Linked DNA regions of Canis lupus familiaris. The protein of the gene in region 3 interacts with the protein of the main gene of each other region in a pairwise test. Links are inferred from orthologs where the notes say so. Each region holds a gene or a part of one and is shown on either strand. Other genes may lie near its edges.

Evidence for each region.
Region 1: the proteins of ABHD16A (region 3) and RNF5 interact in binary tests that used the Homo sapiens proteins (3 or more experiments, as listed by UniProt). The link is inferred for Canis lupus familiaris from reciprocal best matches to the Homo sapiens genes ABHD16A and RNF5.
Region 2: the proteins of ABHD16A (region 3) and DTX2 interact in binary tests that used the Homo sapiens proteins (3 or more experiments, as listed by UniProt). The two-hybrid records come from large-scale screens. The link is inferred for Canis lupus familiaris from reciprocal best matches to the Homo sapiens genes ABHD16A and DTX2.

The regions. Positions count from the first base shown.
Region 1 is NC_049233.1:1,702,685-1,707,516, reverse strand, and holds RNF5 (E3 ubiquitin-protein ligase RNF5), read right to left. Parts: upstream 3,063-4,832; 5' UTR 2,898-3,062; coding exon 2,758-2,897; intron 1,877-2,757; coding exon 1,858-1,876; intron 1,763-1,857; coding exon 1,650-1,762; intron 1,534-1,649; coding exon 1,479-1,533; intron 1,402-1,478; coding exon 1,284-1,401; intron 1,175-1,283; coding exon 1,077-1,174; 3' UTR 608-1,076; downstream 1-607. UniProt on the Homo sapiens protein: Membrane-bound E3 ubiquitin-protein ligase that mediates ubiquitination of target proteins. May function together with E2 ubiquitin-conjugating enzymes UBE2D1/UBCH5A and UBE2D2/UBC4.
Region 2 is NC_049227.1:7,519,244-7,523,917, forward strand, and holds the start of DTX2 (probable E3 ubiquitin-protein ligase DTX2), read left to right. Parts: upstream 1-1,612; 5' UTR 1,613-2,092; intron 2,093-2,234; exon of another isoform or gene 2,235-2,353; intron 2,354-3,282; exon of another isoform or gene 3,283-3,447; intron 3,448-4,674. UniProt on the Homo sapiens protein: Regulator of Notch signaling, a signaling pathway involved in cell-cell communications that regulates a broad spectrum of cell-fate determinations.
Region 3 is NC_049233.1:1,311,372-1,315,506, forward strand, and holds part of ABHD16A (phosphatidylserine lipase ABHD16A), read right to left. Parts: intron 3,512-4,135; coding exon 3,438-3,511; intron 3,259-3,437; coding exon 3,097-3,258; intron 295-3,096; coding exon 180-294; intron 96-179; coding exon 1-95. UniProt on the Homo sapiens protein: Phosphatidylserine (PS) lipase that mediates the hydrolysis of phosphatidylserine to generate lysophosphatidylserine (LPS). LPS constitutes a class of signaling lipids that regulates immunological and neurological processes.

The DNA.
Region 1 (4,832 bases), about 390 kb from region 3:
TCCTGTATCACCTGTACCCCACCTCACCAAACTTGCCTCCACAACCAGAGCCTCCTACAGTGATAAGTAAACACCTCACCCATTTGTTCTCGTGCACACATATGGATGTGTGTGTGTGTGTGTGTGTGTGTGACAGAGACACCTGTGTGTGTGTGAGACACCTGCATGTGTGAGATGCCTGTGTGTGTGAGACTGTGTGAGACGCCTGTGTGACACACCTGTGAGAGATGACTGTGAGAGACACCTGTGTGTAAGAGATGACTGTGTGTGAGACCTGTGTGTGAGAGACACCTGTGTTTGAGAAAGAGATGCCTGTGTGTGACACCTGTGTGAGACACGTGTATGAGATGACTGTGTGTGAGACACGTGTGTGTGTGAGAGACGCCTGTGTGTGTGTGTGTGAGAAAGATGCCTCTGTGTGTGTTTGTGTGTGTGTGTTTGTGAGAGAGAGAGAGAGAGAGAGACGCCCTCACCCTCTGAATCCCTCAGAGCCTTGAAGAAAGCCTTCACACTTCCCCACACCGTGCAAATATTTACTCAAGTTGGGGAGATGCTCCTGTCCTGGAAGGAAGGGGGTAAGGACAAAGGTGGGCAGAGCTCCCATCAGTACATCTCACCTTGTTTATTGAATTTATAATAAAGGAGGTAGTGAAGGGAAGGAAGGACTTAAGAATCAGAACCCATATTAGACACTGGGGAGAGAAAAATTAAGTCAACAGGGGTAAAGTAGGGGAGAGTCAGTGGGAGCCTTGCCCATCTTTCAACATCAAATCAACAAATGTGGGGGAAAGCAAAAGATCAGGAGAGGGAAGAAACAGACATCCTCTTCCGTCTGTCCTCCTGTCCCAGAGCTGGGAGTTAGGATGCTACGCAGCGAGTTCAGGGCAGAAGTTTCTCCCATCCTCTGCACAGATGTCACACCTCCTCCCCACACCCTCCTACAAAGTGGCCAGGGTTGGCCTTAGCCAGTAGAAACGGAGGGGTTGGGAGGGAGGGGCCAGGAGTAAGGAAGGGTCAGCAAGGACCCCCAATACTGATTCTCCTCTGGCTGGAGGTGGGCAGGAAGGAGACAAAGCTCAAATACTGAGCAGCCAGAAAAAGAAGAAGATGGCGAGAAACAGGAAGAGGGAGTCCTGCCAGCTGGAGGCCGGGTGACCCTGTCCCAGATCCACACCTGTAGGAGAAAGGAAAGCTGTGGGAGAAGCATCCACTCCTAGGTTGGGAAAAGGCCTGAGGGGACTCAGAGGGCTCCCTGCTTGGAGCTGAGGGAAGGCTCTTCTTACCTGTACCCCGACGGAATGGCTCATGGGTGTTGAAGACGGTGGTGAAAAAGCCAAAGGGAAAAGCACCAACACCAAATGAGAAGTGAAAGCCCCCGGTATCACCAAATGACTGGAATCCCTAGGGAGGTGGAGAAAGTCAGAGGAGAACTGGGCAGGTCTTTGGCAAGGAAGGAACACAAATCAGACAAGACTCACCCCTCTGCTCTCTGAAGCTGGTCGCTGGCCCTGGGGGCGGGGTGGAGTTTTCAATCTGAGGAATGAGAGACTGGCTAGGGCTAGCAGCAAGGAATGTCCTCTCCCCCTCCACGCCCCACTCCCAGGCCAGAAGCAGTCCATCTTCCCTCAGCACCACCCCCTCTCTCTCACCTGGGATCCTGGGGCTTCTGGCTCCCTCGCCCATAAAGAGGGACAACCTTTTCTCTGCTGATCCCAGCTTTACACACTGGGCACTCTTGCCGCTCTGGCCGGGTCTCCAACCACTGAGGGAGAAAATGAAGTGGTTTCCAGTTCACAGTAGGGTTTTTCAACTCCTCAGACCTCCCCATTTCCCTCTTCATCTCCTCTGAGTACGCACCTGATGAAGACAGGGCCAACTAGATGGGGGGAAAAAAAGAAGGTCAAACTAGCTACAGTAAAGACAGACACGAACCTGACCTCAGAGTCCGATCGCACCCCTCTTCCCAGGTATTACCTGCTGTTTCTTTTCATGTTTTTGACAACCTATTCCATGCCAGCCAATTTGGCCTTCCCACCTCTCTGATCTTACAACGTCTAAAGTAATATTCATCCTCCGAGGTTCAACGCTCTTCTCTCCTTGAACACACATGTCCCCTCCCTTTTCTGCCTCTGAACTTAGTGTCCAGGTCTCTTCAACCAGAGCTTTCTAGATCTCCTGTTTCAGCCCCAACCCCAGCCCTGCCCGCATCACTCCTCAACCAAACCCCCTTTACTAGCACCTGCCCCCACTACTCCTTTTCCTCTCTTCTAGGCTCCATCAAGTCCCTATTTCCACCATCCTTTCATTTCTCAGTGCCCTGGTCCTCAGGTCTGTCATACCACTCCCTACCAAGATCTCATCTGCATGCGATCCTACATTCCCTCGGTCTCCCGTACCCGACTAAGGCGTGCCTCCTCTAACCTTGGAGTCTAATCTATCTCCACCTGTACAACTAAGACCGTCACTTTCCGGGGTAAGGCGGCTGGGGTCTCACCTGGACAGATGTAGTTCCCCCACCACCACCCCGCCCTGCTGCCTCTTAACCACAGCACACCCCTCAGCGCCCAGTTCCTAGGGCTCTCCGCCACACGGCTCTCCTCCGTGGAGATGTGACCCTCTCACCCACACATTCCCAGAGACCTCGGGCCTCGCCCACGGGGATGTGCCCGCCGACTATCCGTATGCGTGCCATCCCGCCCCCAGCCTCCCCAGTAAGGGGCGAGCCCCATTTCTCTTCAGCCCCGGCCGGACCCTCACCAGTACAGGTGGCCACACACGCTGACCACAGCCTCCCGAGCAGTCTCCAAGCATATATTACATTCGAAGGTCGCGCCCGCCCCGCCCCGCTCGCGGTTTGGCCCTTCGGGGCCCCCGTCCTCCTCCTCCGCGGCTGCCATGGCCGGTGTTTCGCCTTCACGTACCCCTCGGTCTCCCCAAACACACACACAGACACACACACGCCCCAACAGCGAGAAACCGCCTCCAGCCCACGACCGTTGGGCGGGCTTCGAGGTTGTCTAAACACTACTGGTCTGGGTGGCTGACAATCACACAGTTTAAAAGCCAGGATTGGCCCAAAGGGTAGGGAGAGGTCTGCGCAGGCCTGCCCTTGCCAGCGACGATTGGCGGGCGCGTCTCCGTCAGGACGCCATGCGACAGAATTGGTGTCCGTTGGACCTGGTCGGGGAGCTTGATTCGTCTGAGTAGCTGCCAGTCAGGGCCAAGGGCCAGAAGCAATTGGTCCGGGACCACACAGGCCCCGCCTCCTCCGAGCCCTTTCTTTGCTTCACTTCCCCTTTCCGAGAACGTCCGGATTCCTATTGGACTTTGGAGCGTAGAGCTCCGAAGCTCTGGATTGGCTGGAACTCGACGGAAGATGGTGGTTCGGCAAAGTGCGCGCGCGCAGCAGGCGGCGGGAAGGGGCGGGCCAGGCCGAGAGTGCTCGGCTTTCTCTGGCCCCACCCCCTCGCCGCGCTCTTGTCGCCGTGGTGACTGCTCTACGATTGGCGGGCTTTGGGGTTCAAAGGCATCAGCGCCGCCTCATCCGGGCCCTCCGACTGCGGTCTCTCCGGGCTGATTGGCTAGTTTCTTGCAGCCCTGATTGGCCGAGATCGGAAAAGACGGCCGAGAGCTCGGCGAGGTAGCAAATGCTATGGTCGCAGGGCTCAAAATGGCTCCGGCCTCCTTCGGTGACGTAGAGGGCAGAACTGGGGCTCGCCCCTCCCTTTCAGTGAAGAAGGGAGCAGAACTGGCATCAGCTCGACGTGTGGGTGGTGCGAGCATCGACCTGCGGCGCTGGTGTTAACCCATCTCCCTCGGCTGCGGGACGCAGCCCGCTCCTCCTTAGGTGACTTGCAGAACAGATCTCAAGGCCCACACCTTTCTAACGTTGACACAGGATGACAGAGTTGACCCCGGCCCCGTTTTAAACCTGAAAAGCGAACTAGCTCCACCCCTTCGTGAGTAGGTGCCGAGGGGGCAAGGCCCGCCCTCCTGAGCGACCCGCGGCGGAATGGGGTTAGGCCCGCCCCTTCCGTCCTGTAGTGTGTCCCGCAGAAGTGGGGTCTTCCTCCTGGGTAGGACCCCCGGGACTTGGGCAGGCCCGAGCTTGGGCCTTCTCTACAGTCAGTGACCTCACTGTGGCCCAAGGAGCAGAACTAGGTAACAGTCCTCCCATACCAGTGTTCCTTACATCCTCGACCTCAGGGCGTGTAAATTCTAGCAGGGCGAATGTGTGTCTGGCAGCGGGGACAGACTCGGGCCGAGGGCAGGTCAGCACCCAGATAAAGGTCTCACGTGACCAGGGAGGCCAGGTGAGAGGAGGGCGGGGGAAGTGAAGGTACAGGATGCCGGGAAAGGCTTAGGAGAAAAGTTCTAGGGGAAGGGGTGTAGACCAAGGAGAGGAGCAACGCAATGGTCCTGGTTTAAGGGACAGTGGAAAGACGAGCGAGAGGAGGTCAGAGGCTGGACAGGGAACAGATACATGCCTACAAAATTCAGGAGGCATGCTCGTCCCAGAGTAATCTAGCGTTCTTTCTCTCTCTCTCTCTCTCTCTCTCTCTTTTTTTTTTTTTTTTTTTGTTTCTTTCTCATTTTTTTTTAAAGCAACCCTAATACCCAGTTTCTACTGGAAAAGATGCGCCCGCCCAGATTCTATGTTGGGGAGAGGCACTGTCTCAGCTTCAGTGATTGAGACTGACAGGAAGGAAATTGAAAAGCGAAAGTACTGAAGTTAAATAAAGACCGTGGAAGGACAGGGGCAGGGACAGGGCCCGAGAGTACCTCTTCTCTTTAAAGACCAGAGAGAGGGTTGAAGCAGGGAGCCGGACTGC
Region 2 (4,674 bases), on a different chromosome or scaffold from region 3:
CATGGAGCCTACTTTTTAAAAAATGAGGATGATGCTAGTACCTACCTCATTGAGGGGATTTCCTGTGAGGTGATGCATGACAAGTGCTTGGCACATACTAGGTGCTTTAGAAATGTTGTAGGTGGTTTTGGCTGAGAACATTGAGATTCTAGGAAGGGAAATGTCCCCATCCTAAGCTGTAGCCAATACAGTTACCTAGTATAAATCACAGGTAGAAAGTCACTCCCTCATTTCTGGAAAGAGGACTGGCATTATTGGGAGAACCCGACTTTAGTGCTTCCCCAGGCTCAACGCCTATATCCTCCAAGTCAGGTCCTGGATCACAGAGTCGAGTCCTAAACTAGGGTCCCAGAAGTGGGCCTGCCACAGGCACTCCTTCCTCTGCTTCATTGACTTTGGGTGGATTAGTCTCCCCTCTGAGCCTCAGCTCCCTTTTCTATAAAATAAAGTTTTCAACTGAATGATGGGGGCGGGGTGTGGAGAGGTATCTTTTCCTTAAATCCCTGATGAAGTATGAGTGACATTAGATTATGTAAAGATACTCAACTAGAGGCCAAGATTCAGAGACCTCTTAACCCCCTGGAACTGTGTGCAAGATTGTATATGTGACATGTATGTACACGTGTGTGAACATTTCTATCTGAGCATGTTTTAGGAATAGATCTATTTATCTTTGTGAAGGAGGTCTGTGATCCCAGAAGAGTAGTCACCGACCTAGTTCAGACCTTTTTTTTTTTAAAAAAAAGATTTTATTTATTTATTCATGAGAGACAGAGAGAGGCAGAGGGAGAAGCAGGCTCCCTATGGGGAGCCTGATGGGGAATTTGATCTCAGGACACACACCCCCTCCCCCCACCCCCGCCATCACAACCTGAGCCAAAGGCAGATGCTTAACCACTGAGACACCCAGGTGCCCCTGGTTCAGACCTTCTATCTGAACTATAGATATAGTTCAGACTATATCAAGATCTGATATATATGGGCAGCCCCGGTGGCGCAGCGGTTTAGTGCTGCCTGCAGCTCAGGCAGGGCATGATCCTGGAGACCCTGGATCGAGTCCCACGTCAGGCTCTCTGCATGGAGCCTGCTTCTCCCTCTGCCTGTGTCTCTGCCTCTCCCTCTATGAATAAGTAAAATCTTTTTTAAAAAAAAGATTATATATATATATATATATGACTATAGCAAGAGCCTCCAAACTGGTCTCCCTACTCCTTTGTTCCTTAAACGTGTCCTCCACCTATCACACAGGGTATCATTCCTTTGTTTGAATCTTTCTTTTGGCCTTAGTGGCAAAAAGAAATGCATAGTATTTAAAGACATTCATAATCTTACCCAGCCTGGTCCCCACACTCATATCCTGACACACCCTAATCTATTTCCTCTGTCCTCAGCCCCTCTGTGTACCCTCCTGCCCTGGCTACAGGGAACGTTTCACTGCTTCCTGAATGCATCAAGCACTTTCACATCTCTCTTCCTTTGCAGGAGCTTCCCTGTACTTCATCTGGCAAACCCTCGTGTGTGCTTCAAAATCCAACTCAGGCGTCCCACCCCTTTGTGATGTCTCCCTGACACCTCCTCCAAATGAACCACACCCTCTGTGCTCCAACTCCTGTGCTTAAAGTCACATTTATCCCACTGTACTGTAATTATGTGTTTGAGTGTCTGTCTGCCCAAGCAGATATGAACTTCTCCCAGCAGAGAAACCAAGTTTCTGACTCACGTTTGGAGCCTCAGGACCCAGCACGGGGCATGGCACCACATGTGTACGGGTAATGACTATCTAAAATGAGTCAGTAAGTTAATGAAGGAGTAAGTCAGTGAGTGAACAGACCAAGAAGGAAGAATAGATACACCTGAACCGGTGCGCGTGGGATTGGGTCCCGCCCCGCCCCCAACACATGGAACTACATTTCCCAGAAGACCCCGCGACCTGGGCATGCGCACTGGAGAGCTAGGAAGCTGCGACGCCGAGTTTCACTCTGGCTGCCTCCTCAGAGTCGGAGCTTCAGCCGGAGCGGTGCCCAGGCCGGCCCGAGCTGCAGCCCCAGCGCGGCGGTGCCCTCACCCGGCCCCCTCGTCTTCCTCAGCCTCGGTGAGAGGGGCGGGCGGGCCACCTGCCCGTCGCCAGGGCTGGGGTCCCGGGGACGCGGGGGGGACTGAGCCGAACTGGGACCGGAAGGGGGCGGGCGTGGGACTGAGGGAGGGCCGGGCCGGGCCGGGGAAGAGCCCCGTGGTGAGGTCCGGGGGGACTGGGAGGACCCGCCGCGGGGCTGGCCCGGGGCCGCGGCCGCCGGAGGCGGGAGCTGGGAGAATCGGGCGCGCTGGCAGCTTTGGGACGGGTCTGGGTGCGAGGGTGAGCGCCGGGTGGGAGCCGAAGGGCTGGCAGGGGGAGGGGCGCAGACCCCGGGAGTTCGGGGCCGTGGCGAGGAGGACACCCCTTCCCACAGGGGCGGGCGGAGGCGCTGGAGATCCCGTCACTGGGCTCCGGGGCTCGCGGGGTCGATTCTCCTGGGTTCTGGCTTCGGGCGGACGACTTGCTGCAGCCCGGGGCTGTACTTTTTGAAAGAGTTTGCCCCCAAACTCTGCTTCCCTGCCTCAGGTAGGGGTCGCCCTCCGGGAAACTCCGGTTTCCTGGGGGCCCTGGGTTCCTTTTGAGGGTTGCGTAATGTACGTCGGAGAGGATTTAGACGACTTTTTTTTTATTTTTCTGAACCTGCCCTGTCGCCCACTCCGCTCCCCTCCCCTCCAACCAGCTGCTCCCTTCCACACTGGTTCCACTTCCCTAAGTGCCAGTAACAGTGGAAATAGTGTGTGCACGCACAGGCTCCCGGACCGTTAAGAATTAATTCAAGAATACTTCTGCCTGCTATCCTCTAGAGTTCTAGAAGGTCGACGTTGTGGTAGCCAAAATCGGGCTTTACCCTCACGGTAACTATAACTGGGCCTCTTACTCATTTGCTGCGTGACCTTGGCCAAACTTTTACCTTCTCTGGTGTGTTAATCTCCTGGATTCTTACACTGCAGACTGACTTAGGAAGCCCATTTAGGCCTTTCCGTGAAAGAGCTGAGGTGTGTGTGTGTGTGTGTTTCCACCATCCCCTTGATTATTGAGTGGGTAGAGGGAGACTGTTGTACCTTCTGTCCTGCCCAGGCTGTTGAAAAATAAATCTGGTGGTTTCCAGTCCCCGGCCGCAGCGCACAGACCCAACATCTGTGCATTCGTTTTCACTGACTGCTGTTTCTCAATTTAAAACCTGATCATCTTTTTCCTTGTTGGCAAAGGTGCCCTGGAATTTGTGTTGCTGAGTCAGCAAGGCTTTCCGATTTGCTCGGTTTTTGTTGTTTGCATTTTATATCAAGATGGGAACTCAAACAAGTCATTCCTCCTAAGGATCTAGTGTCTCTGTCAAGAAGGGACAGTTTGTGCCAGCTCTCCAGAGAGAAAAGGTAAGAGTGACAGGGACTTCACATTGCTGCCTTCTGGATCTGGTTTTCAGTAGAGGAGGTGGAGACTGGGGAGGGTGAAATTTGAGGTCTCCCGGATGAAAGTCAGCCTTGGGAGTTGATTGTTGATTGCCAACTGTCTCAAATAAAGTCAAGTGCTTTCTTGCCAAGGGCTTCTTCTGTTAAACCAGGCTTAGAGGATGCTTTACACATGGTTTTCACTTAAGACATGCTTTATGGGGTGAAGGACACAAGTCATGATTTCTGCATCTGAGCTGGAAATTTTATTTCTTTTGTTGCCCGCACAAAACTGGGTGCCTTCTTTGTGTCAAGCCCCATGCTCAATGGTGGGGCACAGTGATGAGTGAGAAGAGCTCTGTCACCTGGGAGCTCATCATTTGGTGGAATGGACTGTCCGTTCCTAGACAGACCCTAGACAGTGGCAAGGAGTTGTTGGTGTGCTATGTGTTGAGGTGGGAGGAATCACAGGGCAGAGCCCCAGCCCCTCGACCAGGGGCTGTCCAGGAAGGGATAGGAGGGAAGGGTCAGCAAGCTTCTAGAAGAACATAATTGAGCTGAGTTGTGAAGGACTTGAAAAGGAGAGCAGAAGCCTGGCAGAGGAGTGGGCATCTGCAGAGTCCAGAAGTTACCTGGTACGCATGGGCCAATGTAAGTAGCTCTATGTGGCTAGAGCAACAGGGATGGGTGTGAGGTGGAGGAGGCTGGTTAGGTAGGCAGAGGGAAAGTGTGGATGGTTTTGTGGGCCGCACTAAGGCTCTGGGAAGCAGGATTTTAGCAGAATTCCATGAGGGCATTTTACATGAGCACACTGGCTAGAAAGTATGAATGGATTAGACTGGATTATTCTCTTTGTGACTGTTTCTTTACACCATGCCAGCTTTTGATAGAGGAAGAGTTAGACATAGATGTTGCCCTCAGTTTCTTCATAGTCTCCTTGAAGAGATAGAATGGACATAGAGAACTGTAAAGGGCAGGCAAGTGCTGTGGAAGTTGAGAAGAGGGTGTTTTCTTTCAGTTGGGCATCTCGAGGCATCATGGAAGTACGTTTAAATTGGGTCTTGAAAGGAAGTCTGAGTGGCCCAGTCTGTTGAGCATCTGCCTTTGACTCAGATCATGATCCCGGGGTCCCAGGATTGCTTACTGGGGAGTCTGCTTCTCTCCCCCTCACCCATGCTTGTGCGTACTCTCTTGCTCAGTCTTTCTTTCAAA
Region 3 (4,135 bases):
TGTCCCTGGGGCTCTGATGTCTCCCGCCGGTCCACAAACATGGTGTCAATCTCGTTGCCATCGCAGGCCAGCAGCTTCGCCCGGCGCCCATTACACTAAGTGAGGGAGATGTGAGGAGTGGGAAGTCACATCCCTGGTGGGGGGAGGAGCATCGGGGCGCAAGGGCAGGGGCGCCTCACCTCTTCCACCAGCCGGGCCTGGCCCTGCAGCAGCACAGGCATGAGGGCCTTCTGGAGCAGGTACACTGAGCCGGGATACAGCATCCGGCGCCCCAAGGTGTGTGCCACCAAGTAGCTGTGGGGAACTCAAGGTTAACAAACCCTTGACCTCAGGGGGGCCCAGGGACCACCCCAGCCCTTGCACCCAGAGGTTCTGGGGCCTGATGCACCCTTGACCTTCACATTTTTGTTTTCTTTTTAGAAGATTTAACAAAATGCTGTATGAACCAGACTGGTGTTTTCCCAACTTTTTTTTTTTACTACAGCCTTTCTAAGATGCACATTTTATACTGTGGCCCAGTACACGCATTTGTACATATAATACTGAAAATTTCAGGAAATAATATTTTCTACGTAAAAGTAAAAGCAAAGTTATTAACTATGATTCTCTTAATGTATAAATACAACTTAGGGACACCTCGGGAGCACAGTCAGTTAAGCGTCTGAACTGTTGGTTTCAGCTCCAGTCCTGGGATCCCTGCATGGGGCTGCAGGCTCAGCATGGAGTCTGCTTAAGATTCTCTCTCCTCAGGATGCCTGGGTGGCTCAGAGGTTAAGCATCTGCCTTCGGCTCAAGGTGTGATCCTGGGGTCCGGGGATTGAGTTCCACGTGGGGCTCCCCACAGGGAGCCTGCTTCTCCTTCTCCCTCTGCCTGGGTCTCTGCCTTTCTCTTTCTGTGTCTCTCATGAATAAATAAAATCTTAAAAAAAAAAAAAAAAAGATTCTCTCTCCTCCCTGTTCCTCCCCCAGACCTTTCCCTGGTGTACCCGCATGAGCACCTGCTCATTCACTCTCTCTCTCAAATAAATAAATAAATCTTTTTCTTTCAAATAAATAAATAAATCTTAAACAAATGCAACTTATTAAAAGTCCCCAAGTAAATAATACTTAAATAAACAACAGCTATAATTTATTCAATTGATTTCAAGATTCATGAGTGGGTCAAGATCCATAATTTGCTTTCTGTTTTGAGATTTGAGAGAGGGAAAGTGGAGGGGAGGAGAGAGAGAGCAAGAGGGGGAGGAAGGGGGGCAGAGAGATTGAGAGAGAGAGAGAATGTGTGTGTGTGCATGAACTGGGGAAGAGACAGAGGCATAGTGAAGCAGACTCCTCGTGAGCACAGACCCCAAGGTGGGGCCCATCCCATGACCCTGAGATCGTGACCTGAGCCGAGGTCAAGAGTTGGACACTTGGGGATCCCTGGGTGGCTCAGCGGTTCAGCACCTGCCTTTGGCCCAGGGCGTGATCCTGGAGACCCGGGATCGAGTCCGACTTTGGGCCTGCTTCTCCATCTGCCTGTGTTTCTGCCTCTCTCTCTATCATGAATAAATAAATAAAATCTTAAAAAAAAAAAAAGAGGGATCCCTGCGTGGCGCAGCGGTTTGGCGCCTGCCTTTGGCCCAGGGCGTGATCCTGGAGACCCGGGATCGAATCCCACGTCGGGCTCCCGGTGCATGGAGCCTGCTTCTCCCTCTGCCTGTGTCTCTGCCTCTCTCTCTCTCTCTCTCTCTGTGTGTGTGACTATCATAAATAAATAAAAAAAAATTAATTAAAAAAAAAAAAAAAAAAAAAAAAAAAAAAAAAAAAGAGTTGGACACTCAACCAACTGAGCCACCCAGGTGCCCCAAGATCCACAGTTTGAAAGACACCAAACTAGATTGCACACTCCACCAAGCAGAGACCTGGCTGTTCTGTTCACTGCAATATGCCTTTTATCTGCCATGTAGCTGGTGGCTAGAGCCTAATGCAGAGTAGGGGCTTAATAAATATTTACTGAACCAATGCACTAATCTAGACAGATAAGCTGTGGTAGGTGCTGTTCCTGAAAGACCATTTCCAGTTAATCTTGAAGTAGGATTTGTTCACAGAAAAACACTGTACTACCCCATTCAGCATCCTCTCAAAACTGCAAATCTGGCTTGCCCCTCTGACCAATCAGCATACTGTAGACACCGACCACTAAGCCCTCCCCTTTCTTCGGTATTCCAGAAACTGCGTCCCAGGCCACAGCAACAGAAAATTCCCACGACATCTGCACCACGGTAAGATATGGATGATTACTGCTGCTACTTCCAACACCATCCGTGTCCACAACTATGATTTACTTGGGCTTTGCCATATGCTCTCAGGCACCCAGGCAAGGTAGAAGGCTTTGTGAAGATGTTACTACACTTAATCTCGCCAATCCTATGAAGTGGGTTAATCATGGACACAGAGATTGCAGGTCGCTAAGGTAGGATAGCCTAGGAGCAGAGGGGCCAAGACAGGGATAGCTGCCACCAGACCCTGCTCCAGCTAAGGCTATGTGTCTCCACCACACCTCCAACCTCATTCTTCCCTCCCAGCCTGGTTAACAGAGCTTCTGTGGGGACCTGGCTGGCCCAGTTTGTAGAAGATGTGACTCCTGCTCTTGGGGCCGTGAGCTCAAGGCCTATGTTTCGTGCAGAGCTTGCTTAATAAATAAATTAAAAAAAACAAAAACAAAAAGAGTAGTAACATGAAAGAACTTTTGTGTCAGATAGAATTGTGTGAACATCCCAGTCTTTCATTCACTGTCTATGAGACTCTGGAGCTCTCTGGGCCTCTTTTCTTCACCTATAAATCTAGATTAAAAACCACAAATATGAGCACCTGGGTAGCTCAGTGGTTGAGCATCTGCCTTTGGCTCAGGTCGTGATCCTGGGGTCCTGGGTTCAAGTGTCCATATCAGGCTCCCTACAGGGAGCCTACTCCTCCCTCTGCCTCTATGTCTCTCATGAATAAATAAATAAAATCTTTGGAAAGAAAAAAAAACTACCACAAATAATACAAACTACGCAGCACAAGGCCCTATCTTGCAAGGGAGCACCCTGTCCTGGAATCCTCACTCCGAATCACCTCCATCCCAGCTGGCCTCTCTTCCCTGTTGCTTCCCACCTGGTGATCTGACAAGGCAGCTTCTTGACCCGGTTGAGGAGGGTGTCTGCTGTCCCCCGGTGCAGGGGCTCTGGGCGGAGCAGGGCCACACCTTGGTAAGAAGGGCCCCCTCGAGACTCCTTCCTGAGGATGGAAAGATGCAGGGGAGGACAGTCAGGAGCAGCAAGCTGAACAGCGGAGGTCTGCAGGAGAGGGGGGAGGATGCTGTCTAGGAACAAGGAGATGGTGCTGGAGAGCAGCCCCTGGGGCCCAAGATGGGGACAGGACAGAGCAGGGATGGAATGAGAGAACTGGGACCTCACCGGCTGCTGGGCTCTTTCCAGTGGAAGTCGACCGGCCAGCTCTTAAAGTCAAAGTTGTAGTTGGCGAGCTGCCTCTGTGGTGGGCAAGGAGAGGTAAAGAGGAACTGAAAAGTTGGGGCAGGCCACCTACCCACCCTAATCAGCCATGGGACTGGCCCCCACACGTCATGGGGAGACAAGGAGAGGTCAACACCCCCATACTCCCTTCTCAGAGTGAAGAAAAAATCAGCCAAGAGAGGATGCCTTTATCAGCTATCCAGCTGCTTCCAGAACACTCCTTGCTTTCCCAAAATATAAAACTGACCCACTCCCAAAAGGGATGGCTGTAGGTACTGGTGCTTCTGAGGGAGGAAGTGGGGGTCTGTTGGCTGTTCATGCCCCCCTCCCCTACTGGGTCCCTGATACAATGCTGTCCTGGAGGGCTGAGTGAGATGGATGGAGGGAAGTCATGCCTACAGTGGCTCCTTCGCATTGGGCCCACCTCTTGAATGAGGCCCTCTCTCACTGTTCCATCCTTATGGCCACCTTCCTTCCCTCAACTTCTGCAGCCAGACCATCTATGCCTCCAGTCACCCCACCGAGCCCATCCACATGCTTTGTGAGGGTGGCGGGAGCTGTGTCTTCTCTGCTGTACTCCCTCCCTCACCCTCGAAGCACCTGGCACTCTATCTTGAGAACTGTTTTTTATTTTCCGTCAC